4 linked regions of the Pelodiscus sinensis genome follow. The protein of the gene in region 2 interacts with the protein of the main gene of each other region in a pairwise test. Links are inferred from orthologs where the notes say so. Each region holds a gene or a part of one and is shown on either strand. Other genes may lie near its edges. The genes, in order: EPS8, EGFR, PTPRA and CFL1.

Region 1 (7,260 bases), on a different chromosome or scaffold from region 2:
GTTCGTAAGTGCGGATCCGACATAAGTCGGATCCGCGTAACTCGGGGACTGCCTGTACTTACCAGAGGGAGAGACATTTGCCAAAATTAGATGAAAGGTTGCTGCAATAACCAGGCTTTTGAGGGAAGGGTGGATGAAAAGTAGGCAAAATAGGTTCTCTCGAGAGCTCCGAGAACTCTTCACCTCACACCCATGCCAGCTCCCTCTTTGTTTTTTAGAAAAAAATGCAGTATGTATGTAGATAGAATGGGACTTAAAGAAATCATTGCTATGGTATTTGTATTCCTTATTTATTGGAACTGTTTCATAGGCTGACTTTATCCAGATTTAAATACATTTGTTTATTTGAAGTTCATCACTTCGAACTACATCTCATGATGAACGCGATCACTTTTAAAAGGGATGGCGATTGGCAGTAGTGGTTCGCAGTCATGTTTTAATTGAACCCACATGCCAGTGACCCTCTAGAACTGAAAGTTTGACTGTTAAGACTCTGGTTGTACTACATGTGTGCTCTGGCACTGTTAAAATATTACTCCTCTTTGCAGGTCAAAGGAAATTCTGATGAACTTGAGCAGGCATTAGGGATGCTGCCATTTTCTCCTCCTTGGCACAAAATGGAATTTTTGCTTTTACAGTATGAGGGGACAGCTGTACTAAATCACTCCCCCTCCCCCATATGTTGTATTCTTATTATATGGGTATGCCCTGGTATCTGGGCTGCAATAGCAACTCAAAGTAACTTTTTTAGAGACTACATCTCATGCTCTCTACTTGTCTTTCATCCTGGCCCTTAAGCGATCCCATATAAAGTTTGTCTGCCTGTGGTATCCTACATTAGATTAATATTCTTCAGAGACTAAGCTAAAGCAATAAAATTGGTTTACTTAAAACTGGATTGTAGAAGAAATGTGGCTTCTTTTCTGCTCCAAGCCACATGAGCCATGTCTTGTTTTCATTCAAAACTGTTAGGGGAATGAAATGTTTCTGCGGAGGCTACTTCACAATTTTATTTGAAGCAACCTTTGATTAAAACAAATGGCCAAATGAACATAGTGCACAGCGATGGCAGTAAGCGCCTTGCACAAATACTTTCATATAAAAGGGTTAGAATAATCAATAATTGACTTGTTAGGTGGCATAATAGATTCTAGAAAGAAAATTGTATCTAAACCTGTTGAAAGACAATTGCGGACGAGTCCAACGGGCAAAGTGATACCACTCCCAAGGCCTTGGTAGGAGGTGTAGGGGTGTGTGTGTGTGCGTGTGCTCGCATGCACGCGCCTCTCCCCCCATACCCTTTGGATAAGAGAGCTTATGTACAACAATCAGGTTTTTTTGAGGGGGAGGCAGCAAATATTTATTTTCATAATTTCACTTTTTTAAAAAGCTGGTTTTGAACAAGCAATTGTTAAATAATCCCTTCTGTACAAAATTCTTTATATATCAGTAATGGGATAGAAAGCCTTTTTATTTTTAGGTTGCTAGTTCAATTTCCAACTAGGAGCCCAATTCTGTATACAGAGCTCTATGCAGGTGTAAGTCTCTGCCAGAGCTCCCAGATCCTAGCCCAACAGGGATAGGAAAATATGCTTTGGTTTATATGGCCTGTGACAGTGTTGAAAGCTAACCGATATCCCAGCACTCTGGTCACTTAAGCTGATTATTTGCCCCCCAGAGAAGACTTGATTTAGGAATGAAGGACTTAATTACCTTAATCAGAATGTGAACTAAGATGGTTAGAAAGCACTGGAAGAAAGTGCAGAATGGGAAATGCTAGCAGAACTGAAGGAGCAAGCTGAGCACTCTCCATGGAGAGTGGGCTGACATCTGAAGAACGTTGTAGACAGAACTGTTGCTTGGACTGTGACGATAGTGGTAATATTAATAAACTACATAGAGGTGATAAACAAGTACAAAACTGTCTGGGATCACAGGACATGAGTGGAGCCTACGCTTTGCATGGTCTTGTCCACGCTAAGTAAATCAGTACCTCATTTTAAAGCAATGCTCTAATCTCTAATCTACGCTGGGTTCTCAAGCTGCTTTTTTTGGTTGGTCACTTTGTAATGAAAACCTGAGCTGGTTTCCAAGACCAGCGGTAAAATCACCATATTACAATCTCAGGGGCAGCTGCACCATTGCTGAAAAATGGATACTAATATTCCTAGTGGAGCTGCATCCCATAGTTGTCAATTTGGCAGCTGTCATCAACACTAAATCCATTGGAGCCAAAAAAAAAGGGAAAAATTAGTTGACTCTTTGCATTTCTGGATTGTATGCCAGGTAAATTAGTACAATCAAACCAATATTTTAAATCAAAGTGCCTAATTTGTACATTTCAGGGATTTTTAAAAATTATATAAGAGCAGCATCTCCGAGCATATATATATTGGCATGTATTTTGCTGTGTACCTGACAAAAAACTCCATGTTAATATGCTTCCATTTAGAGGAGAAAAATCATGCAGAGTGTATACAATGTTATACATAAAAGAAATTTTTGCAGTTGGACTGGATTTTTTCTACAGCTGACTCTGCTTTGCTGCTTTGATCCAATATTTCAACAGGGTTCAAATACAGTTATTAAGTGTCACACATTTTAACGTCCACTTAAAAGATCTGTATTATATATATAGAATTGGTAAATTAGTTGCAGATGCAGCGTAATTTTCCTTGACTACACAGTCTAATTTATTAAGAGATAAGTGTTTGTGTTTTGTTTCGAGATGGACTTTGAACTCTTCTTCCTTATTGGGTAGAATTTTCGGAACATGTCCTAAATGAACTCTCCAATTTTTAAGAAGAAGCTTCACATACAACCTCCGTGTTTTAATGGAGGTGTCACTGGTCTATGTGCATAAACCTTCTAGCACGGGGGGGCATGTTATAAGGAGCTTCATGGCACAGTGAAAGGCACAAAAATTCCCACTTCCTTCTACAAGTTGGGAGTTGGTTATATGATAGAATTTCCATATTTGGAGGCTGAGAGAGTGTACAACTGTGGCCTACTTATAAATTCTTCTGTGTTTTTCAAAAATCAGTGTGAAGAGAGATGCTATGCAAAAGTCACTCAGCGGGGGCACTGTCAAACATCCATTTAAAGAGCGTATCTGTCTCTAATAAACAGTATTATGAATGAGACTCTCGGTTTCTTGTCTGATCCATGTTATTTTTGGACATTTAGAATATGTCGTCACTGCATAGCTATTTCGGGATACCGAAGGTATCCCGAAATAGCTACCCCACATCTTCACAAGCCGCCCGTTCGAAATAACGAGCACTCTATTTTGGCATTCTGGCAACCATGCTTCCACGAAGGTTAAGGGATGTCTCCAAATAGGCTATTTCAAAATTTGGTATGTCTACACAGTGCCAAATTTTGAAATAACATGCTATTTCAAAATTCAATCAAAATAAGATTCGCAATCTCCATAGCTCAGATTGCGTATCTTATTTCAAGTTCAGGGTGCTTTGTAGACCCACCTTTAGTGATTTTTAGCTGTGTAGAGATTATATGAATTTATCTCTTTTGGCAATCCTTTTTTAGCACAAGTGAGGTTGCAGGATAGTGGTAAAAACTGGCTTCCTTATCAAGCAAGGCCAATGCTCCATCAGAGCTACGTGCCAGGGCAGTTTCAATATGGTCTCTTAGGAAGAGTAAATGGCTTAATTTTGGACAGTTGAATCAAAATAGCAACATGTCCATAAAAAGGAGTGAACAAAATCAACAATAAAGCATGAGCATGCGCATGAACTCCAGTGCTTGTCTTTGTAAACCATTCAGCTGAGAGGAGCTAACTAGAAAGCAAATGTTTTTAATGAAAAATTTTGAACAAATTTGTCCCCTCCTCTGGCAAATATTTTTAAAGTGAAATTTTTCATCCAGATATACCTTTGAACTTCCCAGGGCATCTTGTCTGCTTTGTCTCCTTTGATTTGATTGTGTGCGTGTGCTCTGTAGGATGCGGATTTATACAGTGCCAAGTACTCTGTCATGCTTAAGAAATAATGTTGAATGCAAAGTCTGGAAGATCCTCTTATAGACTTATTTAATGAGTTCCTGTAATATATTGCATATTCAGAAAATGCTGTGCTAATTATCAATAGTTAAAACTGTTAAAATGTGCTGAAAACACATTACAAACTTTTATTAAGGTTAAAAACATTGTAATACAGCCTTTAAATTTAAATATAGCTTATTTGAAAATGTGAATTGTCTTGAAATTGAAAAAAAAATTCCTTTAGGCAGCGTCGTGTAACCTGTGAAGAGGAGGGCAGGGAAAAAGCCAGGATTCCTGGATTCCATTTCTGTTGCTGTTACTAATTCATTGTGTGTACCTGCACTCTAAGACAATTTCTCAGTTCATCAAAATTAGCAGGTTGGTGAGATGAAATTATAAACCATAGTGTTTGTAAAACTCACTTTGATCCTACAATAAATGATTGACTTATGTAATACAAAGTATTAGTAATTATATATTAAATCAAAAAAGTAAAAACATCCTATGTTTCTGGTGCCTAGTATTTTCATAAGTTCATGATGTAAGTTCACTATAAGGTTGAACTGAGTTTTTTTTCCTTGCAAGTTTTAAAAGAGAAATAAACTTAAATCCACATAAATGAGGGAAAATTCCAACATTACCTATCCCCCATCATGACCTTAACAGAAGGGATACATGTTTGTTGAACTGCAATGAGTCTGCAGTTCAAAAAACTAGTCCTTTTACAAAACCGTTTGGTTGTTTAATGTGTGAAATTCTAAATTTTTCTATTGTACTTTAAATATATCCTAATAAATGTACTTTAAAGGCATGCTCCTAGAAGTGCAAAAACTATGAAACAATAAGATGTGATCTGTTTTAATTAAAAAGTCATGTAATTTCTGGTAATCTCAGCAGTTCTTGGGGGGGGGTGAGTTTAAATGTGAATTATAATGGTCTTTTGAATGAAAGTGTAATAGGCAGCAAATGACTTTGTAGTTTGTCAACAAATAGTACTGTTTCTTAGTTCACATTCTGATGGTGATAGAGTATTATAGGATGAACCTCTCTAGTCCAGTACCCTGGGGACCTGACTGGTGCCAAACCAGAGAATTTGCTGAACCGTAGGAGGTCAATATTGTCTAGCAGCATCACCTACACTTCCAGTGCTTGCTGGGTTTTTAGAAGTCGTGTAGGGGTGAATTAGAGCTAAATAAGAGCACAGATAAGTGGATCAGTGTAACTAAAATCATGCCGGACCATAGATATTGCTGGATTAGAGAGGTTCAACCTGTGTATTAACTCAGTTTGTATTATCACTTTTTATAACAGAAGCTGAAACTTTTTGCCAGCATTTGAAAACAAGAAAATTCCTTCCTGTGCTGTATTTATCTTGAAATTCTTCAGAGCAGGTTGGTCTATGTTATACATAAATATGTAGTCTGTATTCATAACATTCAGGATTCTTTAAAAGCATTAAGAGCTTCTTATGCCATTTACTTGCCCTCTCCCTCAGTTTTTCCAGAAATAATTAAGATAGTAAAATGATGGACTCATTATGCTGTTCCCCAACCATAATGCTCACATACTGATCTGTAACATTTAGGAAAATATCAGCTAACTCCGTCTTCCAAAAAGTGACCTTACCCATAGCCAGGGAATATGAGAGCAAGAGGTGCTTAAACATGTGTCATTCCATCTTTTCTTGACTAGAAACTTGAAAGTGTTTGGCCGTGTCTTTAGTGAATGTCAATTGGAACAACTGACAGTCAATTGACGTGAAATTTCCTGCAACATTCTTTGCAGAACTGGTGACACCTTGCTGGGTGAAATGTCACTGTTCTCAAATATCTGTGTATGTATGTATAAAAGGCACTGAGTGTGCAGAATTACAGAAACAGTCTCGTTAAGTGCAGCCCAACCTGCCGTGCTTGCCAGGATGGAAAATCTCCCCAACCAGCAGCCAGCGCAGGGAGTAATGGGAGGAGAAGGGGAGCAAAGTGGCTCAGTGATCTGGTACCTCCTTGAAGTTGGCACCCAAGGCAACTGTCCTGCCTACAACAAGCCCTTGTTATTAGAGATGTTAAAGGTTAAACAGTTACCCGATAAACATATGCCTTACCAGCATGTTTACTGGGTAACTGGGGGGGCTCACTATCCAGAGCAGCATCCTGACCAGCAAGGCCCCAGTAGCTCTGGATGCCAGGGCTGATGCAGTCCACAAAACCGGAGAAGCCCCCATCCTATAGTGCAATCGGGCTGGAGCAGCCCCCTGCCTGTGGCCAGTGGTTAACTGGTTAAACAAACAATTTACTGGTTAACTCTTTTGGACAATTTTTACATCCCCGTGGGTTGTATTGTATCATACCATGTAATAGTCAGTGCAGATGTATACATTCAGCCAGCTAAAGGTAATGTGTACATTTGTATTGTCAGTCATTTTATTTCTTTCCCTGTAAAATTGAATTGGGCAATGCAAATATGTGAAAGTGAAGAGGACCACTAATTAAGTAAAAGGTTAAAATGGCCAGCTGGAAATGGAGTCGTTGCATGTGGTAATTTGTTGGTGAATCCCCACTGTTGGGGGAAGAGGGAGAGGAGAAGCCATTACAGATTGTCGCTCAGTTGGCATCATTATGTCTGCTAAATTTTATTAACTGTTGTAGCTGGTGAATTTGCCATGGACTTTGCATTGAATAAAGATAGGCCCAGATCCCTTGGCCCCATGTTCAGCAGTTTGCTCTGCCAGGCAATGTAAAGTAGCTGGATACCTGGCTTATGAGGCACCTAGGGATGTCCTTGAAATAAAGACTCTTCAGTTTGCATATAGCAGGCAAGGCAAGATGGGGTATGGCCACAATGTGTTATATTTTACTACTCCCCAGACACTATTGGTGCTGATGTAACTTAGAGCAGCTGAATGGTAGATATACGCTTAGGTCAGAGACCAAACCTGCACCCTGGATTCTGTGCCAAATGTAGCTCCAGTATAAGTCTGGGATCTTGTCCATAATATTAGAAAGCTGTTGTTTGATCTAGAGTTTTTGGAGTTTGTAGACTCGGGATTTGTCAACAAACGGTGATCTATCTGGTTTAATAGTAGCTAGTGCTCAGTCACCATCTGATTCTGTGCTTGCGAACACATTGAACAAGAGCAAGAGTCTTATGATCACCATATAAAATGGGCACCAGGCACTATAGTGCTACTTCTGCATATCGATTTATATGGTTAGCACCAGGTAGATAGTTCTGACATCTTTTTAGGGAAAAGGGAACTC
Region 2 (7,803 bases):
TTGCATTAATCTGTGTTTACACCAATGGATCTGAGGCTGAGCCAGATTCTCATCTGTCAGTATGTTAAAATGTTTAGTATCACTGATTTGGTTTGGGAAAGTTGATGATTCTTTAAAAAAAAAAAAAAAAACCAAGATTAGTTTTCACTCGGCTGTATTTAAATTTGTTTTTAATTCTCAATGTTTAAAGAAAGATTTTTAAAAAAAATGGTATTGAAGTCACCTCAACTCAAACCAAAATGTAAAATTGTACATTTTGCATTCTAACAAACATTGTACTAGTATCCGAGTCCTTTAAAAAAATCATCTCTTTGTACAGTAAGAAATGACATTAAGTTCAGGTGAAATTTTTAAAATGTGAATGCTCATAACTATATACAGCTTAAAATTTCTTAGATGCTTCATATTAGTTTACTGTAGCACTTCATTGGTTTGTATTGCTTATGCACCTCCAGCCCCTCAAGTTGGTGATATATCGTATCAAAAAAAGGATCCCATGTACCCAAACATGGAGGCAGGTTCTGGGGTCATGAAGATGATCTGATCTATCATGCACCTATTACTTTGAAGGCAAAAGTTAAAATGTGGAACTATTTTATGAACCTTCAGCGGGTATCCAAGTTAGTCTGTCCAGGATAAACTTAAAACTTCCAGCTCAGCTTTCCCCTTGATATTTTTTACCCACTGCCTCTTCTTGTTCCTCCCTCCCATTTTTTCCTTCTTCTATCCCCACCCCCTTCTCCCCTATTTATTTTGGGCCTGGACATCCAACACTCTGCTCATCTGAAGAAGTGGGCTGTGCCCATGAAAGCTCATGATACCATCTACATGTTTTGTTAGTCTTTAAAGTGCTACATAACTATTTGATGATTCTTCAGTGAGGATTCTTCCTGTATCATAGCCTCCAATGGGAATTTTATCATTTAATTTGTTGAAGCAGGAGCATGCTACCTAAAAGCACTTTTCTGCTGCTCACCTTTAATGAGCATACAAATACAGCAAAAACAGAACAATCAGGCAACTCAGTGTAATTTGAAGATGACATACACTACTTCTGTCTTGGTCAACAGGTCTAACTCTCCTGATGTGAAAAGGCACTGGCAACTAATTATAACCGAGGTGTGGGTGGTGAAGCTATTGTCTATCATTTCTTTACTACTGGCTTATTAAATAATCATAGAATGGGCTCCTTCCTGGTCAGACCTAGGGCTCCGAGACTGTAACACCAATACAATAATTGCTACCTCTTAATGCTGTAAGCTTTAGTATTGTCCTTGCATCAAAATATTTTGCAGAAATTGTAAAACTCAGTCTGTGTTTCAAAACAATTTTATCTGAGCTGCACAATCACAGCAAAGGGAGTCAACTGCCCCCAAACCCTGCCCTAATTACATCAGCAACAGGTACGAGCTTGCTTCTTGGAACCAGAGTGCCTCTTGATTTCAAGATTGTGCAATTAGCTTTCTGAAAAGGCGTGTTTCTACTTTTCAAAGATGGTTTGATTGTTCGGAGTCACGAAATGCTAACGCTCCTCTAACAGACTTTCTAAAACTATTAGGTCTTTTCTCAATTTTTTTTAAACAAAAATCTGCATTGTGTTGTTGTTGGAGGATTCCCAAGATAAAGACAATTTTGCCTGGAACCGAAGTTGGCTGCCTATCCTTGAAGCTTATAAAAGGGGGGGGGGGGGGAGAGAGAGAGTTTGGCCAACCAAAAACTTTTTTTCTTCCCCAAACTGAAACTGCTTCCTTAACGTATTAAAACCTTGCAAACTAGGCTGAACAGTTCTCACTACGCCCGCGTCAGTACACGGCTACAGGACAAGAAACAGTCAGCGCAGCCGACCGTGAGAAACAAGCCGCGCCGGCCATTCACAAAACTTGCCAATTTGTTTAGACTGGTCACCCCACAACGTGCCCCCTGCGCGCATTTCAGCTCAACAGGGCTCAGGAGCCGGTGAGAACCACAAGCCAAGAGCCCAACCTGCCTGCAGTTGTTCCAAAACTGAGGCTCGCCTGGTACACGAGTTATTTGGCTCCGGCAGGTCTGTGAATCATCCATGCGCCCCCATCCAGGAAGACGTTAATAAGCCTCGGGCAATAGGACAAGCCTCAGCGCTTGTGAAACCGACCCAGCCGCCTGTCACTGCCTCTCCGCTCGTGGCTCCGCACCCCCCAGCGACGCCTCGGAGAGGCCCCTGAGAACAAGGGCACGGAGGGACTTCGTTTGCCAGGCTGCCTAGGACCCGCCTCGGGCGCTGCCGGGTTTACACGTGCGGGGCGCAAAGGGGGGTGGGCGCTCCGGAGGGCCGGGTTGCGAGGGGCCAACCTGGGGATCGCAGCGCGCGGTGCTGGCTGGGGAAAGGGCAAGGGACGTGCCCAGGATTTTCTCTCCCTCCCCTCCCAGGAGAAAGCAAGCCCCCGCCTCAGGCAATGGGACGCCGCGCCAGTGACACCCTCTCGGTCAGGGCATCTGGACAGCGCAGCGCTACGGAGCCGGAGGGAAAGTTTAACCCCCCCCCAGCCTGGGGACAGCGGGCTCCCCCCGAACACACGGGCAGCGCAGCAGGGCGCGAGCGGTACCTTTCTTCTCCACCGCGGCGCTGAGGCAGACGCAGGAGAGGAGCAGCACCAGGACAGCGGCGCCCCCAGCCCGGAGGTGCCCGCTGGCTGCTGCCCGCGGCCGGCGGCTCCAGTCCCCCATGCTGGGCTGGGCAACAATCCCCGGGGCTCGTCGCGGCTCCCTCCTGGTCCCGGCGGCGCTCAGCTGCGCTGCCCGGCTCTGCAGACCATGCTGAGCTGCTGCTGCTGCTGCCAGGGCGGCGGCGGCGGCTCCCACCGCCCCACGTGCGCGGCGGAGCAAGTGCCGGGGGCTGCTGGCGGCGACCCTGCTGCTCGCGCCCGGGGCGGAGGGCGCTGCTGGCTCGGGCAGGCGGCAGCTCCGCTCTCGCCCCCTTGTCCCAACTCCTCCGCTCGCAGCCAAACTTTCCCCGCACGCAGCCAGCCAGCAGGCTCAGGGGCTCCCTCTGGGGAATCCGCCCGCCCCGCGCAGGGGGCGGGGCAGGGGCGGGACTGGAGGAGGAGACACCCTGGCGGCGCCTCCCCCCTCCCGTGTTCCAGGTGAGGGGCTGGGGGGGGGCGCTCACCTGGGCCGGGAGCCCTGGGGGGAGCTAAGCGAATGTCCCTAGTTCCTGCCCAGTCCCCTCAGCCTGCCGCTCGCCTTAGCATTTGCTAAAGAGGAGCTCGCCCTCTTCGCTGTGGCTGCAGCTTTGCAGCCCTGCCCTTGGCCTCGTACCTAGGAAGGGCAGGGATCGAGCACGGTCTTTGCCTCAGGGCTCCTCAGGCGGAGGCAGAGCGAGCTGAGCCCTGGGCGAAAGGCTGGGAGAGGACTGGAGCCCTGCTCACTTGCACGTCCCCCCCGCCCTTTGACTATCGCCGCAGCTACGCAGGAGGTAGCCTAATCCCATTGACTTTGCTGGAATCCCCTGCGTTCCGCACCTCCTGGAAGTAAACACAGGCTCGGCCCTTCTCTCTGGGTGTGTGTGAGAGAGGGAGGATGTCTGGCAAAAGCGAACTGGGAAGTCTCGCCTGCGTTCTTGAGGAGGCGAGAGTGGAAATCAGTTCCCGAGCAACTCTGTCAGAAAGCAAAAGACTGATAAGGAGTAATTGTGGGAGACGGGAGTGGGAGGCTAAAATCAGTCAGTCGCTCCTTTGCTTTCAAAGGAGAGATTTGGAAATGAACTTTTTAAAAAATGCCAAGAGAGCTTTATGAAGGACCTCCCGGGGGAAAAATAAATAATTACCGGACGAAGTTAATGATTAAAAAAGTTACGACAGTGCACTAGAGCTTGGAGTTTTGCTACTGCTTTCTATGGGACCGATCCTGTTCCCACAGTGTGCATTTTATCATTAAAACTCTCTATGGAGTTTGTGAGAGTAGAAAAAAAGAGTCTAACTATATTATTTTTATGTGTCCTTTCCTCCCTCAATAACTCATAGTCCCTTGGGCACTGATCCTACTTGGAACTAATGGTTTTTGCTATATTGTATGCTCCTGTTCCTGTGTTGCTTGGTTAAGGAATACTGAATTAAGAAAAAAATTGTTTTATAATATTTTCCTTGTACAAACCAGCATATATATGCGCACACACACATTTGGACAACACATTAAATTATGTGGGTTTTTGATGGTTAGTATAACATACTGAGTTTGTGCATCTGGAAATACTATTACACTATCAGATACATTGTGGGTGGATTGTCTGGCTTTCATTAGAGACAAATAGGATTTTTTAAAATCACACCAGGTCAACATAAATAAACTTTGCAGCACTGTGGGGGTAACCTTAGTATATATTACAGATTGCAAATTGCACAAGAAGGATGGGTACTAGATTAAAGGTGCTGGGAGAGATGTCTGTCACATCTCATAAGAAAAAAAGTATAATGTAAAGCCTAATGTATCTACGATCTTGAAGATAGTGCAAGAATAATTTATTTAATGCATACTGTTAGCCTCCTGAATGCAATAGACTCAGACATTTACAGAGTTCACCAAAAACTAAATAAACCACAAACCAACACACACACACTTTATCTATGGTCAATCATCGTTTCTATTTGAATTTGTATGAAACTGACCATTTGACAGTGAGTGATCTCTTACCTCGTTCCTGACCTAAACTGAAAATATGTCAGCATTGCGCACTCTTTATGGAGGCATGTGGAGTAAGACATCCTTTTGGTATGTGCATGAATAGCAGTGGAGACGGGGAAGCACTGCTGAGTGGAGTATAGACATGTCTGAACCCTGTGGGCACCTATCCTACAAACAGCTTCACTTCTCTACATGTCCAAGCAATATCTCCCACATCTGTAGGGCTACTTTTAGTTCTGTTTTGTATAGTGGAATTTTTCCCATCACATGGAAAGACTCTAGCAGCAAGGAAAGGGCATGGAGGAGATGGTAGGGAAAGGCTCCCAATGTTCATCATCACCAGAGCCTTTCCCTGGCCACAGCTATTTCCCCCCTACTGCTATCTTTCATTGATGTATTGCTACACACCACAAAGTATATGCAGGTTGCTTTTCATTGCGGCATATAGTTACACGTACCCTATATGCCAGCACCAGTGGTGTGCAGCATAGATCTAGCCTTTAGGAATTCCCACTGTAGTTATCATTTCTCCTACTGCAAATGTTCAACTCATTTTCAGAGTGGAAAAGGCTCTTTTAGCACTGACACTATGGAGTTCTGCAGCAAACAGCTATCATTTTTTCCTACCCTATCCTACTGAGTTTGAATGTATTACATTCTTGACAACTGAACTCTTCTAGTCAAGAAAGTAAGATACATAAAGATACACCAAGACCTGAAGACCATATGCTGCAGCACAACTGGGAACTACCAAAGCTGTCAGGTCTGCAGATGTCTCCTGTTCACATAACCAAACAATCGCTGAAATTGTTAGTTTACATAATATCTCTGTTTCAAACACAGGAACCTGTTCTATGTGGGTATGTCTACACAGCAGCATTATTTCAGAATAACTGACATTATTTCGAAAAAACGTAGTGCATGTCTAAACTACAAGCTTTTATTTTGAAATAATGCTGAGATGGAGGACTTCTTACTCTGACTCATGGTAACCCTCATTTCATGAGTAGTAAGGGAAGTCGAAGCACCAAAAGCCGAATTAAGCTATTTCAATTTAAGCTATGCAATTGTGTAGTTTAATTCCACTTTAGCTTTGGGCTGTGTCTAGACTGGTCAGCTGTCTACACTGGCCACTTGAATTTGCACAAGAACACTGATGATCTAATGTAAGATTGTCAGTGTTCTTGCGCAAATACTATGATGCTCCCACTCGGGAAAAAGCCCCCTTGTGCAAATGCTTTTGCGCAAGAGGGCCGGTGTAGACAGGTAAAAACTGTTTTGCGCAAAAAAGCCCCGATGGCAAAAATGGCGATCGGGGCTTTCTTGTGCAAAACTGCATCTAGATTGGCACGGACGCTTTTCCGCAAAAAGTGCTTTTGCGCAAATGCATCCGTGCCAATCTAGACGCTCTTTTCCGCAAATGCTTTTAACAGAAAAACTTTTCCGTTAAAAGCATTTGCGGAAAATCATGCCAGTCTAGACTTAGCCTTGCTGTGTAGATGTACCCTGAAAGGCCTCTACAGGACTGACTAACAGAATTCTAATGTCCCACGGTTTTTGTTGTTTCAATAGGCGGGCTGTCATCCCTTACTACATGGCATAGGAAGAAATAATTGACATTTCCATAATTCCTCAATCCCCATCAACAGCAGAGATGGAATTAACCTCACTTGCCCCCACAGACTGTGTTGCAGAACAGAATGCAGCTTCAGAACAATTCCATGGTAGGTAGAGGGATTGTGGAATCTTGTTGCATGGAGTCCTTGCAGCTTGGTCCTCCACTCTTACAAAGCATAGGTGTGCCTTGCGTTCTATTGCCTTCTTACAAGGATGGTGACAGGATTTGTTCCACAATGAGAACTTGAAAGGTTTTATTATGAGCAGAGGAAAAAATAAAGGTGCATTGATTGGAAAGAATTTAATCTTTAATTTGTTCAGACTTCATCTGTGTTATGCTGGAGTTTGTACAGAATGTACTTTGACGTATTTTGCATTTTAATGTAAGAAATGATTAAATGACTTATAGCACTTCTGTGGTCCCTGACACTTTCAAACATTAACTAGTTATTCTTCACAACTCTCCTGTGAAGCAGCTTAGTATATATAAGATCCACATTTTACAAAATATCTTCTCTGGAAGCAGCATGATATATAGGCATATAGATAGATATAGACAGATACATATTCACATACACACGGGTAATAATTGTTTGCCTAACAGCATGTAGGGAGATTTGGGAAGGTATACAGATGGGCACTGGGGTTAAGCCTTAGTAACCATAAATCCCTTAGTCAATATTGCTTTACACAGAATATGTGCCTCTGTCCAAATCAAGAGATTTTTATATTTCTGAGTTTGTACTGCCACTATCTATGCTCAAGGCTATCCCTCCCACCCTCCAAGGGGCCAGGACACAGACCGGTGGTTACAATACATGGAGGAGGACCCTACTCCAGGGACGGTCCTGTATGCAAACATACAACACGGGGGGAAGGGGAGTAACCGAGTGGGCCCAAGGCACACTACTGTGGTGTCACCTGGGCTCAGGGGTGGAGACCATGAGGTGTGGGGACAGTGGATGGGCTGCCTGACTGACCCATCCTTTCTTCTGTTCCCTGCAACGGGACCAAGTACAAGCCAGGGACCCTCAAGCCCTGTGGCAGCGGCAGCAGCAGCACCCACAGCCGCCCAACCACCAAGGCGGCGGCTCCGCCACTGGGATCAGCTCCTTCGGCGCCACATGCAGGCCATCGAGCGCGTCGAGGCAGCCATCACTCGGCGTGTGGAGGTGGGCCTGCAGTGGCGCCAGGAGGCCTGGGGCTCCTTCCAGGCCCAGTGTGTCCGCAAGGCGGATTCAATATCCACCCTCACGTCACGCATTGGCCATGCCATTCACTATAGCATGGCCTTGCCCCATGCCCCCGCCATCCCTCCCCTAGCACTGTCCCTGCCCCTCCTGCAATGGCCCCTCCTGCTCCTGTCCCTCCTGCCCCTGCCTCTCCTACCCACCTCCCCGTGTTGCCTGCACCAACGCGGCCTGCCCCCCATGTGCAGGTCTGCCCCCGCAGAAGCAGTCGCAGGGGCCAACCCTCCTAGGAGTAGCTCCTCCCCCTCCCAGTTCAAGGTCTCCCCTCTCCCCATTGTAA
Region 3 (7,069 bases), on a different chromosome or scaffold from region 2:
GGATGCACAGAGCCTCACTGGTTATGTCTAGACTACAGGCTTTTGTTGACAGAAGTTTTGTTGACATACTTTCGAACAAGAGCATCTAGACTACATCCAGTTCTGTCAAAGACGCACGCCGCTTTGTCCACATGACAGTGTGGACGCAAAGGACAGTGTAGATTCAATAATGCCTTCTGTTGACAGAACTCTGTTGACAAAAGGCGTTATTCCTCGTAGAATGAGGTTTACAGCCATCGACAAAACGGCTGAGTTCCGTCCACAGAACTCAGCGGCAGTGTAGATGCCAGTAGACCTTTGTCGACAAAAGTCCACTTTTATCGACAAAACGCTGTAGCCTAGACACACCCAGAGCGAGTATATAGAGCAGTTTCCAGGATTGGCGGCGAGGAGTCCTGTGGCACCTTAAAGACTAACTGAAGTGTAGGAGCATAAGCTTTCTGGGCAAAGACCCACTTCGTCTCATGCATCTGACAAAGTGGGTCTTGAAGTGTAGGAGCGTAAGCTTTCGTGGTCTAAGACCCACTTTGTCAGATGCATGAGACAAGTGGGTCTTGTCTCATGCTTCTGACGAAGTGTAGGAGCATAAGCTTTCATGGGCAAAGACCCACTTGTCTCCTACATTTGTCAGATGCATGAGACAAGTGGGTCTTGTCTCATGCTTCTGACGAAGTGTAGGAGCATAAGCTTTCATGGGCAAAGACCCACTTGTCTCATGCATCTGACAAATGTAGAATAGTGATAGAAATGTAGCCGTGTTAGTCTGGGGTAGTTGAAGCAAAATGCAGGACTATGTAGCACTTTAAAGACTAACAAGATGGTTTATTAGATGATGAGCTTTTGTGGGCCAGACCCACTTCCTCAGATCAAATAGTGGAATAAAGTAGTCACAACCATATATACCAAAGGATACAATTTTAATTTTATTCTTTTTTTAATTGTATCCTTTGGTATATATGGTTGTGACTACTTTATTCCACTATTTGATCTGAGGAAGTGGGTCTGGCCCACGAAAGCTCATCATCTAATAAACCATCTTGTTAGTCTTTAAAGTGCTACATAGTCCTGCATTTTGCATCTGACAAAGTGGGTCTTAGACCACGAAAGCTTACGCTCCTACACTTCAAGACCCACTTTGTCAGATGCATGAGAAGAAGCGGGTCTTTGCCCAGAAAGCTTATGCTCCTACACTTCGAAGACCCACTTGTCTCATGCATCTGACGAAGTGTAGGAGCATAAGCTTTCTGGGCAAAGACCCGCTTCTTCTCATGCATCTGACAAAGTGGGTCTTGAAGTGTAGGAGCGTAAGCTTTCGTGCTCTAAGACCCACTTTGTCAGATGCATGAGAAGAAGCGGGTCTTAGAGCACGAAAGCTTACGCTCCTACACTTCAAGACCCACTTTGTCAGATGCATGAGAAGAAGCGGGTCTTTGCCCAGAAAGCTTATGCTCCTACACTTCGTCAGATGCATGAGACAAGTGGGTTTTTGCCCACGAACGCTTACGCTCCTACACTTCAGTGAGTCTCTAAGGCGCCACAGGACTCCTCGCCGCTTTTGCAGAGTCAGACTAACACGGCGACCCCTCTGATGCTTTCCAGGCCCGGGCTCCGAAGTTCCGGCCCATTCTTGTGAAAGCCACTGGAGGTTTGGGGCACCACCGTGAGGAGACGCCAACCCAGCTTTATGGATTGAAGAGCAGGAACGGCGACCCCTACCGAACCTGGCGGTGACACCGGTAGGGAGGCAGAGACAAGCCCCTCCGGGCGGCGCAAAGCCCAACAGCGGCCCCGCTGCGTGCGGAGTCAGACCCCGCCTCACGCCAGCACGGGGGGCTCTGCGGTGCAGGCAGGGCACCCTCCCCGGGCGGCGGGCGGGGCGGTGCGTGGCTCGCGCCAGGCTCGCGGACCGTTGGGCGGGCACGGGCGAGGCCTCGAAACCCCGGTGAGGGGCGGGCTGCGCGGACCTGCCCGCGCGCCGCCAGCCGCCCCCCAGCCCCGCCCCTCCTGGCAGGCCTTGGCGGTTGGAGCTGCCCCCCCCTCCCCGCGCGCGCTCTCTCACTCACCCTGCGCGGCGAGTGGCTCCGCAGCGGCCCGTGGGGCCAGGGCATTTACCCCGGGGTGGGGAGGGGGGAGCGCCCCGCCTCAGCGCCCCGCCGCGGGGCTCGGCGCCCCCGCAGCCTCCCCGCCGTGGGGCCGCCCCATGCGCGGCGCGCGACGGACGGACGGGCTGACAGGCCGGCGGGCGGCGGCGCCTGAGGAGGAAAGTTCCCGCACCGCGTCCCCGCCGCAGGGCCGCTTCCGCTCTGCCGCGCGCGGTGCCTCCTTCTCGGAGGGGAGGGGGGGGGGGGGGGGCACGCGCCGCCGTAAGCCGCCCTGCCATTGGCCCATCAGACGCTCGCGCTGATTGGCCGCCGGCGGGGCGCCCAGGGTGGAGAGCGGGCGGCCGGCCGCGGTAGGGTCTTCGGACTCCACGCCGGCGCGTGCCGATGAGTGGGGGGGGAGGCTCAGCGCTGGCGCGCGCAGGCTGCTGCGTTCTGACCGCAGGGTCGCCGCATCGCCAGGGCGCGAGCTCCGCACCGTGCACGCTTCGGCCGGGGGGGGGGCACCCATAGCCTGACCCCCCCCTCCCTGGAATCCCACTGCTGGGCACCCCCAGCGCCCCGAAATGCCAGTGCCCCAGGCTGAGCCCCAGCAATCCTAGGCAGAGCCACCCCCCCCCCAGAGCCCTGCCAGTGCACCCCCTCCTGGCCCCCGCTCGCTACAATCCCAGAGCCGTGCCCTGCTGCCCACCCACAGCCCCCTGCCGTTCCAGGGCTGGATACCCCCATAGACCAGCCTAACAGCCCCCTGCTACGCCACTGCTGGGCACCCACAGAGCTCTGCTCGCATCCCACCGTACTTACAGCCTCCTTCTTTCCAGTGCTGGGCACACATTCAACACTTCCCGTGCTCTCTAGTGCTGAGTTCCACTTCCTCCCCGCCCCATGTCCTGAGCACCCACACATGACTTGGCCTATGCATCCCAATCCTGACGCATGGCTCACTCTGTTTAATCCTGGACTCCCTTCCCATCTACCAATGCACCACAGAAGTGACCTATAATTAATACCTCCTGTTGTTCCACTCATGGATCTCCACCCAGCCCTGGGTTTACAGGCTCCTTGATCCCAACTTACAACACACTGTTGATCCAGACCCAGGTCCCTAAGATAGTTATCTCAGTTCTCCTCAAACCTCCTCACCTTCCCCCACCTGTCCTTGGGCCAGGTGTCCTTCAAATTGAAACTGATAGTTTTCTGAACTGTGTTCCAGACCATCATGAGTGTACACTGCACTAATTTTTACGTGCTATAAATTGAATCCAAGGTGCCCAGGGAGAAGAGCCCCAATGCATAAGCTCTATCGCACCACCTAGTGACACCCTTGTAGTATTGTAGAGAGGTATGTGGAATGGCAAATGGCATAAGCCTCCAAAATGTGCTTGGAAGTTATTTACGGACTCAGTTTTAAATGTTTATGTAGCTCTGCCTCTTTTGCTTGATAGCAAACCCAGTTTAGTCTCAACGGGTAGTCCTGTGACTCCTTAGAAATACATAAATATATATGTAGTATCATGAGCTTTTGTGGGCAAAACCCACAGATGAATTTGTAAATCTTGGGTGTTCAATGATGCAGCTGGTACCACTCTAAAACAACAGGGAACAATAAGAGTGTCTATTCAAACAATATGCTTAACAGATTTTCTTGCCAAACCCATTATCTTATTGTTTTCCTACCAGTTGTTGCATGTTGTCATTACTGTAAACTCTTCAGGACAGAGACTGGCTTCTACTTTGTGTTTATACAGTGGTACATGCAATAGATCTCTATACCCCACACCCCAGCATTAAAAAATAATGAATCGAGTCCTGACAATAATGAAAATGGCTTTTAAAAGGACATTTTCCTATAACATGAATATATTTGAGGGGTTTTTTATGTCACACACTTTTGGATTCAACTATCAGTACTATCAACCCCAACTGTATAAAAATGGTCAGACTGCCTCAAAAAGTCAGACAGTTTGGATACTTTTTCATTTTCTGGTTTTGGAGTTTTAGGCTTCACATTTTCAAGCTCTGCAGCCCTGAAGGCTAGAAAGTTATTTTTAAAACATTAAAGCTGAAATTCTTTCTTGCTCACATTACTCCAAGAGCCTCAAAAGGGTAGCTGTGTTAGTCTGTAACTTTTTAAAAAATAAGTGGTATTGTAGCACCTTAGAGAGTAACAAAAATATATATAGTATCATGAGCTTTTGAGGACAAAAGCCACTTCTTCAGATTAGAGAAGTGGGTTTATATATATATACACAAAAGCTTCAGAAGGGTAGCCAAGTTAGTCTGTAACTAGAAAACTTAAAAAACAACAAATAGTCTGCTGCCCAGGACCAAATTTACACTAACACCCCCCCTAATCCCCAACCGGCAGTTTTCTATCTGCTACCCAAGATACTTGTCATCACCTACAGCCTACAATTTAAACCCCTCCAAAGGTTCCTAACTGTCAGGGTGGTCAAACACTGGAATAAATTGCCCAGGGAGGTTGTGGAATCTCCATCTCTGGAAATATTTAAGAGTGGGTTAGATAAATGTCTATCAGGGATGGTCTAGACAGTATTGGGTCCTGCCAGGAGGGCAGGGGACTGGACTCGATGACCTCTCGAGGTCCCTTCCAGTCCTAGTATTCTATGATTCTATTCTATGATTCTATGAATGCACAATCAACAATCTATCCTGAAAAAATGACTCCTTACTCTCACAGGCCTTGGGGCAGGACTGGCCTTACCATGAGGCAAACTGAGGTGGCTGCCTCAGATTCCGGATTGTGGGGGAGGGGTGCCACTAGGACCCAGAGTGTAGAAAATTGTGTCTACTGCTGGTGCATATGTAGGTAGCAGAGCAGTGCCATGAGAGGAGTAGAACAGGAAAAAGGCAGAATTGAGACCTTTCAAAGTTTTGGCCCAAGCAAGGGGACATGGGGGCATCATTTGAGCTCCCCACCTCAGGTGCCAAAATGTTGTGGGCCGGCCCTACCTTGGAGTAAAGGCCAATCCTCGCCTACAGACAACCCCCTAACAAACAAATTCTTTCCAGTAGAATAGTGATAGAAATGTAGCCATGTTAGTCTGGTATAGCTGAAACAAAAAACAGGACTATGTAGCACTTTAAAGACTAACAAGATGGTTTATTAGGTGATGAGCTTTTGTGGGCCAGACCCACTTCCTCAGATCAAATAGTGAAAGAAAATTGTCACAACCATATATACCAAAGGATACAATTTAAAAAAATGAACACATATGAAAAGGACAAATCAAATTTCAGAACAGAAAGAGGATGGGGAGGGAGATAAATGTCTGTGAGCTAATGATATTAAAGGTGATAATTGGGGAAGCTATCTTTGTAATGGTAAGATAATTAATTCAGAACAGAAGGGGGATGGGGGGAGAGGTAAATGTCTGTGAGCTAATGATATTAGGGGCTCATTTAACTGCACAACCATTAATGTGATCTATGCCATCAACTGCCAGCAATGCCCCACTGCCATGAATATTGGCCAAACTGGACAGTCTCTATGGGAAAGAATTAATGGACACAAATCAGATCTCTGAAAAGTCAACACACAGAAACGTGTTGGAGAACACTTTAATTTGCCTGGGCACTCATTAATGGATCTCCAAGTCACTATGTTGTTTCAATCCAATTGCACAAGCCAAGTACACAGGGAAGGGTTGAAACTTAACTTCATTTACAAGTTTAATTCTTATCAGAATGGAATGAACAGAGATATTGGCTGGCTCGCACACTACCTTCCACATCCTAATGACTTAACCAAGCAACCAAACAATAAAGGTGCTAATTGTCCTCTTATAACTACTCAAACAATCTATTCACTGTCTTTTTTCTCTTTTTTTCTCCTTCCCCGCTCCCTTCCCTTATTTATTCTTGAATCTGGACTTTTAATACTCTTTTGCGCAAAAGAGCCAGTGTAGACAGCTGAGATTTGTTTTGCGCAAAAAAGCCCCGATTGCGAAAATGGCGATCGGGGCTTTTTTGCGCAAAAGCGCGTCTAGATTGGCCACAGACACTTTTCCGCAAATGTGCTTTTGCGGAAAAGCGTCCATGACAATCTAGATGCTCTTTTCCAAAAATGCTTTTAACGGAAAACTTATGGCGGCGCCCGGCAAGATGCAAATGAAGCCTGGGATATTTAAATCCCGGACTTCATTTGCAACTTCGAATGCCTACATTAGCCACCCTAGTTCGAACTAGGGTGGCAGTGTAGACATACCCTGGAGGGCTACAGTACTACTTGTTGTTTTACTCCATGAGCTGCAGTGTCGAGGGGGGAAATCACATATTTCAAAGCTGGCAACACGGAGGGGTGCAGAGAAATGATATAGCTCAAGAAGATTGCTAATGAGATGCTGATTTTTTCACCTCTAAAATACCACCTGAAATCCAACTCAGGGGCTTGGCTCTGGGCAGTGCTAAACACTCACCACTCCTGTGATTTCAGTGGGTTCGCCATGATCAGGCAGGTCAGTGGCTTTGCTTTTCTTCCCTTAAAGTGAACAACAAAACTCAAAAGGCTATGTCTACACTCGCAGCTTCTTGTGCCAGAAATATGCAAATGAGGCTAAGCGTGGAATATCGCCAAGCCTCATTTGCATACCTAATGAGCCACCATTTTTGCAGAAGAGGCTCTTGTGCCAGAAGGAGCTGTCTACAAAGAGCCTGTGGGTCCAGGCTAGTGGATTTTGTGTGCTCCGGCCCCATGAAGGATAATGGTAGGGGGCTGTAGCACCAGGACAGGTTCCCAGGGGGAGCCCGGAGCCTTGCGGGCTGGATCCAGGCAAACCAGAAGCTGCATCTGTCCCATGGGCCTTAGGTTCCCCACCTCTGACTTAGAGGTCTAGCCCAGTGACTTCAGTGTAACTAATCCCGTGGGTTACGCAGGCAAGCATGTTCTGATCCTAAAACTCATTCCTTCTTGGTCACAAGAGTTTGAGAGATTCCATAGTGTGTGGTGT
Region 4 (7,968 bases), on a different chromosome or scaffold from region 2:
TCAGAAACTGCTACGCCAGATGCCTGTGGGGGAAGAGGGGGAATTAGGAGCTGGGGAAACCTCTAAAGGTTGGTCAATGAGGTGCCCATTACTGGGATGCCAGCCCCACCACACATCAATTCCCAGCAGCCACAAGCAAGAGACAGGGGTTTCCTAGCTCCAAAGGGCAGCTCGTCACAAGGGAAGCCTTGCAAAGGGGGATTATTGGGGTAATCCAACCATTGCCCCCACCACGAGGTCTCGGGGGCTACTTGTTTCACCAGGTACCAAGCCAATGGACCCAGCAGATTTAACCCAGCAGCTGCCATGGGCTTTGGAGCACAGAGGGAATCGGGCAAGATGCAGAGTTGCAGCTTACACAAGCAGGACCAGAGAAGACACACTCCAAGGGCCCGCAGCAAACCAAATAGACCCCAACTACAAGAGCGCTCAATGGAAAGCTCTGCATCAGTGCCTTACACAAGCACCCAGGACAGGCGCTGCAAGGGAACCCGAAACCCCATGCAGGAAACAGCACTACACATGACCTCTGCAGGAGGCTGTGCCCGCTGCTTCCCCATCACCAGCCAGCAGCCCGGGCCCTTCCCACACAGCATAGCACCAGCCCCCATTCACCTCAAGAGGAGACTAATCACCCCTCTACAACTTTTACCCCATAGTCCCTGTTCACCCTGTGCCCTACCTCCCACTCATCCTCCCCATTTAACCCCAGCCTTCTTCCACTAGCTACCCCTCCCCACACCACCACCAAGACAACTGCCAGTCTGTCTCTTGGTGCAGTAAAGCCAGCCTCCACCCTCCTTCCTGGCCTGGTACTCAGAGCACAGCACTTGACACTGAGTCCACCCCTTTTCCCCACCCCCCATTAGACACCTTAAGACCGAGAGCCTTGTTATTTGGGGCACTGACATAGCACTTCGCACTCCACTGCCTGACAGCACAGGGGCCAATCTGAGTAGCTGGAGGCACCCCAAATTCTAACCACTCAGTGCTCCATGCAAGTCCCAGCCCAGGTCTCCCTGGATGACCAAAGGTCCAGCCAAGATCCCCAGCCAGCCAGTCAGCTGAGTCTGGCTTCAGCAGAGGGGCCCGGCAAATCAGCAGGGTGATATGCTCTTATATGGAGAAGGGAGGCTGCTTCAGGGGAAGCACAAGCCACTGTGCTCCAGCAGCCGCTTCTGGGAGGAGATGAAAGGGACATGGGGACAATGCAGGGCTCAGAACACGGACCAGTGAGAGAATCATCAGATCCCCCAGCCTAGGCCTAGATACTGTAGTCAATATCTTCCCTCCTGCAGCAAGGCTGATGCAGCCAGGATAGCTCCCCCCTCCCCCCGAAGCCTCCTAATTGAGTGGGCCCATAGGAGGCTAAAGGGCTTTTGTTCCCTAGCCCAGAAGCCCCGTTTGAATCCATGGCAAAGACCTAAGTAGTCAGTGCTATTGGCTCTACCAAAGAAATGAGACTATTCACAGGTCTTGCTGATCACCCTTCTCTCTCCCCCCCCCCCCCCCGATTCTCCTGTACCCTCCACCCCAAGTTTTGCTCACCACTAATCCCCAGCCAGGCAATGCTAGGAGCCTGGGTATTAGGCTAACCAAGCACCACTCCCCTTCCCCATCCCCCTAGCATCTTTGTCCTCCGCGTGGGAGGGCTCTACAGGCTGCAAGGGAACACTCCCACCGCTCAGACAGTTCAGAGCGCTAAGCACCATGAGAGCTCCTTGCTGGCACTAGGTGAAGCAGGTTTGGCCAATGCAAGGTGGGAGAACCAGGGCTGGGAGCACAAGGCAGAGAGAATCAGACATTTTGCAGAGCAGCACGCTTGCCCACCATCATGGCATTATCAAAGGGTAATGGTGGGGAGCAGAAACTGAGCGAGGCAGTTGAGAGCAGGACACTGGATTGGCTGATCTGGGGGGAGCTAGGACAATGTGGAGCACAAAATAGTTTCATCTTAGACTCAGATGTTAATGTCAGAAGTACCTCTTATGGCCCAAAGATATCTCCAGCCACTCCTACATCCAGCCAACATCCCCAGCAGGGGATACCCAAAATTTGGCACACCAAAGGCCATCTGTACCATGGCAAGGCCTGGGATAGAAAGCTCAACTGTTGCAGACATGGGGAGCCCTGAAGTCACAGGATCCCATACACATAGGGCATCAGGCAGAAGAGATGGATCAAAGGGGAGCTGGCAAGCCTCAAACCCCATGTTTTAGGGGATCTCCCATTGCCATCCCGCACTCTGATGCAATAGCAGCCCCGGAACAACATGCCTCAAGAAAGAGAGCAATACCTAGCCCATCCCGCATTAGAGAATAGGAGAAGGGGCCAGGCCCACATGGGACTCACTCAGAGGTGCATCATCAGCATCCTGCTACACTTGCACCTATAAGGGAAATGGCCAAAACAGGCCGCATAAAAAGCCTATAAAATCCTCTCATAGGGATGCCGATCCCAACCCCATACAGGAAAAAGGAGGAGGTCCCCCCCCATGAAACCCAGGGGTACCTTCCATAGGGGGTGGAGGAAACCCCTCGCCCATGGATCCTACAGGGGCCTTCCGACGCAGAAGGGAGCATACAGCCGCCTATAGACCCCATACGGGGAGAGGCTCCCCTTGCAGATCCCATTCATAGAAACCCAGAACAGAGCAGCGCCCCACCTGCCCCACGGGCGAGAGCAGATTCCTGCCCTGGAGCCGACAGCGGGGCCCCCGATCGCTCTTACAGGCGCCCCCTACAGAGGGTGGCGGGTACGCCAGGCTCCCCCATCCCCTATGGCTCCCGTAGGCGCCCCAAAGGCAAGATGGCGGGCGTGGGCCATAAGATGGCGGCGGCGGGCCGGGGTCCTACCATGGTGCTGCGGGCAGGGGGATCGCGGTCCGGGCTGCGCGGTGTCCGTTATACTGCAGCTCCTCTCTCAAGAGATAACGGTACCAAATATCGCCCCGCCCCGAGCCTACCGGCCGCCCACTTCCGCTTTATGGGGGAGGGGGCACTTCCGGGCGGCGCCGGCCACGAAGCATGCAGGGAAATAGAGTCCGCGCCGCGGGGCACGCAGAGAAAAGGAATCCGTGCCCGCCGCCGGGAAAGAGCCGCAAAGCGCGGGGAAATGGCACGAGCGAAGGAGAGCCACGGGAGACATCGGCAGGGGAGTCATGGGCGATGTAGTCCTGGGATCAGGGAGACGCTGCCGCGTCTGCAACACCCCAGTGCGGGTGCCCTGCAGTTGCGTGCAGTGCATCATGGGTAACAGACCCCCCCCCCCACGAAATAGTAGGACACGTCGTTTGATCACCACCGCCCCTCGCCTGCAGGGCGCTGGGCTGCGGGCAGCCCTCACGCCTGAGTTCCCCCTGGCTCTGGGTGCAGAGCGGGCCGGGAGTGGGAGCCGAGCCCCGGGAGTGCAGCCAAGGGGCTTGGCATTGGGAGCCTCCCTGAGGCCGACGTCCAAGCTGCGGCTTGGAACCGCGCCTGGAGATAAAACAGCCTTTGTATTAATCAGGGTGTCCGTGAGCGGGGCGGCGCAACGCAGCACAGGTAGCGCCCAGGTCGGCTTGTACTGAGCGCAGGCGGCCACAGGCTCTAGGGCAGCAGACTCCGAAGACCGGCTGCTGATTGGCTGAGCCGTGCCGTGACCCCGCCCCCTTCCATTGTGGCGCTGTCCTTCCTCTCCTTGCGTCGCTTCCAAATAAGGGCGTGAACCAGCTGCACAGAAAAAGGCCCCGCCTCCTGCAGCGTCCTCTCCTTATAAGGACATTTAGGGCACACAAGAGGAAGCCCCCCCCCCCCCCACCTACCCAACGCATTGAGGTGTGATCCTTAGCTACACGGAATCCTTCGCCTTGTCCCCTTCCTAGTCGTTTCCTTTGCTTCTGCGCAGACCCCTGCTTTCTCACTCATTATTTCCTCATGATCTTGATTGTTTTCTCTAAAGCTGCAGCTCCTGGACTCAAGTGAATCTGCGGTGCTTTCAGCCTTCAGTTCTCAAAGAAAAATGAATTTCTAGCTCTCTTGATGTGGTGAAAGCTTCAAAATGTGACCCCGGTGCATCCTAAAGGCTCAAAAAAGCAAAATCCTCCCCCCCAAGCTATTATTCTTACATAATCTCATGATTTTTGTTAAGTGTGGCTCCTGATTTTTTTAACAGCTGGGGTTGGCATCTACCACAGGATAGTTTATCTAAGAATAACTCTATACATTTTACCTGGTAGGGTTGAAAATGTTTTGGGTGACTCCCTCACACTATGGTAAGTTGACAGCCAAGTGACCACCCTCCTTATCCAAAGGTACAAGAGCCTCTGGTTATTATATCTCTTAAAGACATGCCTTCTGTTGCTCCCATTCTCTGAGCCAAAGCCCAAGCACAAGTTACATATCATAAGTAGTGGACCATTATGCTCCAGAGTAAACAATGGGGCTGTGTCTAGACTGGCAAGTTTTTCCGCAAAATCACATGATTTTGCGGAAAAACTTGCCAGCTGCCTACACTGGCCGCTTGAATTTCCGGAAAAGCACTGACGATCTCATGTAAGATCATCAGTGCTTTTCCGGAAATACTATGCTGCTCCCGTTCAGGCAAAAGTCTTTTTCCGAAAGACTTTTGCACAAAAGGGCCAGTGTAGACAGCACAGTAGTGTTTTCTGCAAAAAAAGCACCAATCACAAAAATGGCGATCGGGGCTTTTTTGCGGAAAACTGCGTCTAGATTGGCCATGGATGCTTTTCCACAAAAAGTGCTTTTGCGGAAAAGTGTCCTGCCAATCTAGACGTGCTTTTCCGAAAATGCTTTTAACGGAAAACTTTTCCGTTAAAAGCATTTTTGGAAAATCATGCCAGTCTAGACGTAGCCTGGGATAGGGTGCTTGGAGGCAATGCCAAACCTCTCTCTCCATGCTGCCATTCCAGGCATCCTGCATGACTCAGCAAAGAGTGCTCTCCCCAAAACCAGTGCTCAGCTTGCTATGCCAGTAAACCCAGCATTAACATGCCCTGTGCATCACCTCAGAGGACACTGTGTCTCAGAAATAAGGAGGGAATCCTTGTATAAACAGGTCCTGTGCCCCACCTCAGGCGGCTGAGTCTCAAAGCTGGGCAAGTACTGAGGAGGGGTAGGGCTGTCTCCAGGCAGAAGAATATCTATCTCAAAGTATTAACTAAATGCTCCAAGATTATCCCCTCCACAGATCAAATCAACCACCTGTGTGTGTGTGGAGTGGGGGGGAGTATGACAGCCCAGTGGGTTGGGGACAGCTGGAGAGGAAGGATGATATGAAGCCAGGACAGTGGTTCCCATGGTGGGGGAGGTTGGTTCCCCTCCTTTCTCAGCATGACCCCTTGAAGTAGGGTGGCTGTTTTGGCTGGGACAGAACCATTTTAAGCCCTTCCCCAGCCATTTTTTGGCAAAAGCGGGCATTTGTCCCATTTGCTGTTGCTGACTTGATCAGTTGCCAAGAGCAAACAAGACAAAAGTCCACTTCTGTCAAAAACAGTGGAGAGAAATGTGCAGAGGAATGAGCAGCAATGCCAGCCCCCATGTGGGTGGGAGGCAGGGCTCAGGCAAGCAGCCACCCCAGCTGTGCACAGGGCTTGGGTGTGCAGCCACCTGGTCCATGTCTGGGAAAGCAGGCAGGGCTTGGGTGAGCCAGCACCAACCCCAGCTGTGCATGGTGTGTGAGCGGGAGGCAGGGCTCAGGTGGGCAGCCACCACAGCTGTGCACACTGGGGAGGAGTCAGGGCTCAAACAAGCAGCCATGGAGGAGGTGGGCAGGGTTTGGACAAGCCATCACCCCAGCTAGCCCCAGCTGTGTGCAAGGGGAAGGCAGCTTGGGTGAGGAGCCCCAGCCAGCACCATGGGGATGTATTCACATGTGCTTGAACCAGCAGCTTGGGCCAGTCCTGGGAGGGGAGTCTGGGGAGGCACTTAGTCTAGGCCCATACTCTGTCCTTTGGGAAATATGGTCACCCTGCCTTGAAGGCTCCAGCTGTATCATAAATCTACTCGCCAATATGTACATCCTTCTTGTCACACATATTCTGCTGCTTCCCTTAACCTCTTACCAGCCAGTCTAAAAACCCTTTAGCAGCGGACATGTATCCTGGGAGATCTTCCAGGGGGTATAGCAACTCATCTAGATATTTGCCTAGTTTTACAGCAGGCTACATAGAAAGCACTAGCAAAGTCAGTACAAATGAAAATTTCATACAATGACTTGTTTATACTGCTCTATATACCAACCACTGAAATGTAAGTACAATATTTACATTCCAATTAAATTGTATGGCAAAAATGAGAAAGTCAGCAATTGTTCAGTATAGAATCATAGAATCATAGGACTGGAAGGGACCTCGAGAGGTCATCGAGTCCAGCCCCCCGCCCTCAAGGCAGGACCAAGCCTCTGTCTAGACCATCCCTGACAGATGTCTATCTAACCTGTTCTTAAATATCTCCAGAGAGGGAGATTCCACCACCTCCCTTGGCAATTTATTCCAATATTTGACCACCCTGACAGTTAGGAATTTTTTCCTAATGTCCAATCTAAACCTCCCCTGCTGCACTTTGAGCCCATTACTCCTTGTCCTGTCCTCAGAAACCAAGAGGAACAAATTTTCTCCTTCCTCCTTGTGACACCCTTTTAGATATTTGAAAACCGCTATCATGTCCCCCCTTAATCTTCTTTTTTCCAAACTAAACAAGCCCAGTTCATGAAGCCTGGCTTCATAGGTCATGTTCTCTAAACCTTTAATCATTCTTGTCGCTCTTCTCTGGACCCTTTCCAATTTCTCCACATCTTTCTTGAAATGTGGCGCCCAGAACTGGACACAGTACTCCAGCTGAGGCCTAACTAGTGCAGAGTAGAGCGGCAGAATGACTTCACGAGTTTTGCTTACAACACACCTGTTGATACAACCTAGAATCATATTTGCTTTTTTTGCAACAGCATCACACTATTGACTCATATTCAACTTGTGGTCCACTATGACCCCTAGATCCCTTTCCGCCATGCTCCTTCCTAGACAGTCGCTTCCCATCTTGTATGTATGGAACTGATTGTTCCTTCCTAAGTGGAGCACTTTGCATTTCTCTTTATTAAACCTCATCCTGTTTACCTCTGACCATTTCTCTAACTTGCTAAGGTCATTTTGAATTATGTCCCTATCCTCCAAAGAAGTCGCAACCCCACCCAGTTTGGTATCATCTGCAAACTTAATAAGCGTACTCTCTATCCCAATATCTACATCATTGATGAAGATATTGAACAGTACGGGTCCCAAAACAGACCCTTGAGGAACTCCACTTGTTATCCCTTTCCAGCAGGATTTAGAACCGTTAACAACAACTCTCTGACTACGGTTATCCAGCCAATTATGCACCCACCTTATCGTGGCCCTATCTACGTTATATTTGCCTAGTTTATCAATAAGAATATCATGCGAGACCGTATCAAATGCCTTACTAAAGTCTAGGTATATGACATCCACCGCTTCTCCCTTATCCACAAGGCTCGTTATCTTATCAAAGAAAGCTATCAGATTAGTTTGGCATGACTTGTTCTTCACAAACCCATGCTGGCTATTCCCTATCACTTTATTACCTTCCAAGTGTTTGCATATGATTTCCTTAATTACCTGCTCCATTATCTTCCCTGGGACAGACGTTAAACTGACCGGTCTGTAGTTTCCTGGGTTGTTCTTATTCCCCTTTTTATAGATGGGCACAATATTTGCCCTTTTCCAGTCTTCTGGAATCTCCCCTGTCTGCCATGATTTTTCAAAGATCATAGCTAAAGGCTCAGATACCTCCTCTATCAGCTCCTTGAGTATCCTGGGATGCATTTCATCAGGACCTGGTGACTTGCTGACATCTAACTTTCCTAAGTGATTTTTAACTTGTTCTTTGTGTATCCTATCTTCTAAACTTACCCTCTCTCTGCTTGTATTCACTACATTGGGCACACCTCCAGACT

Evidence for each region.
Region 1: the proteins of EGFR (region 2) and EPS8 interact in binary tests that used the Homo sapiens proteins (3 or more experiments, as listed by UniProt). The link is inferred for Pelodiscus sinensis from reciprocal best matches to the Homo sapiens genes EGFR and EPS8.
Region 3: the proteins of EGFR (region 2) and PTPRA interact in binary tests that used the Homo sapiens proteins (3 or more experiments, as listed by UniProt). The link is inferred for Pelodiscus sinensis from reciprocal best matches to the Homo sapiens genes EGFR and PTPRA.
Region 4: the proteins of EGFR (region 2) and CFL1 interact in binary tests that used the Homo sapiens proteins (3 or more experiments, as listed by UniProt). The link is inferred for Pelodiscus sinensis from reciprocal best matches to the Homo sapiens genes EGFR and CFL1.

What each region holds. Positions count from the first base shown.
Region 1 is NC_134711.1:112,321,684-112,328,943, reverse strand, and holds the start of EPS8 (epidermal growth factor receptor kinase substrate 8), read left to right. Parts: upstream 1-4,247; 5' UTR 4,248-4,381; intron 4,382-5,314; 5' UTR 5,315-5,394; intron 5,395-7,260. UniProt on the Homo sapiens protein: Signaling adapter that controls various cellular protrusions by regulating actin cytoskeleton dynamics and architecture. Depending on its association with other signal transducers, can regulate different processes.
Region 2 is NC_134712.1:164,042,539-164,050,341, reverse strand, and holds the start of EGFR (epidermal growth factor receptor), read right to left. Parts: upstream 3,012-7,803; 5' UTR 2,704-3,011; coding exon 2,583-2,703; intron 1-2,582. UniProt on the Homo sapiens protein: Receptor tyrosine kinase binding ligands of the EGF family and activating several signaling cascades to convert extracellular cues into appropriate cellular responses.
Region 3 is NC_134715.1:128,431,630-128,438,698, reverse strand, and holds the start of PTPRA (receptor-type tyrosine-protein phosphatase alpha), read right to left. Parts: upstream 3,021-7,069; 5' UTR 3,006-3,020; coding exon 2,904-3,005; intron 2,322-2,903; exon of another isoform or gene 2,109-2,321; coding exon of another isoform or gene 2,064-2,108; intron 1-2,063. UniProt on the Homo sapiens protein: Tyrosine protein phosphatase which is involved in integrin-mediated focal adhesion formation.
Region 4 is NC_134721.1:32,569,224-32,577,191, reverse strand, and holds the start of CFL1 (cofilin-1), read right to left. Parts: upstream 3,015-7,968; 5' UTR 2,859-3,014; coding exon 2,856-2,858; intron 2,390-2,855; exon of another isoform or gene 2,353-2,389; intron 24-2,352; coding exon 1-23.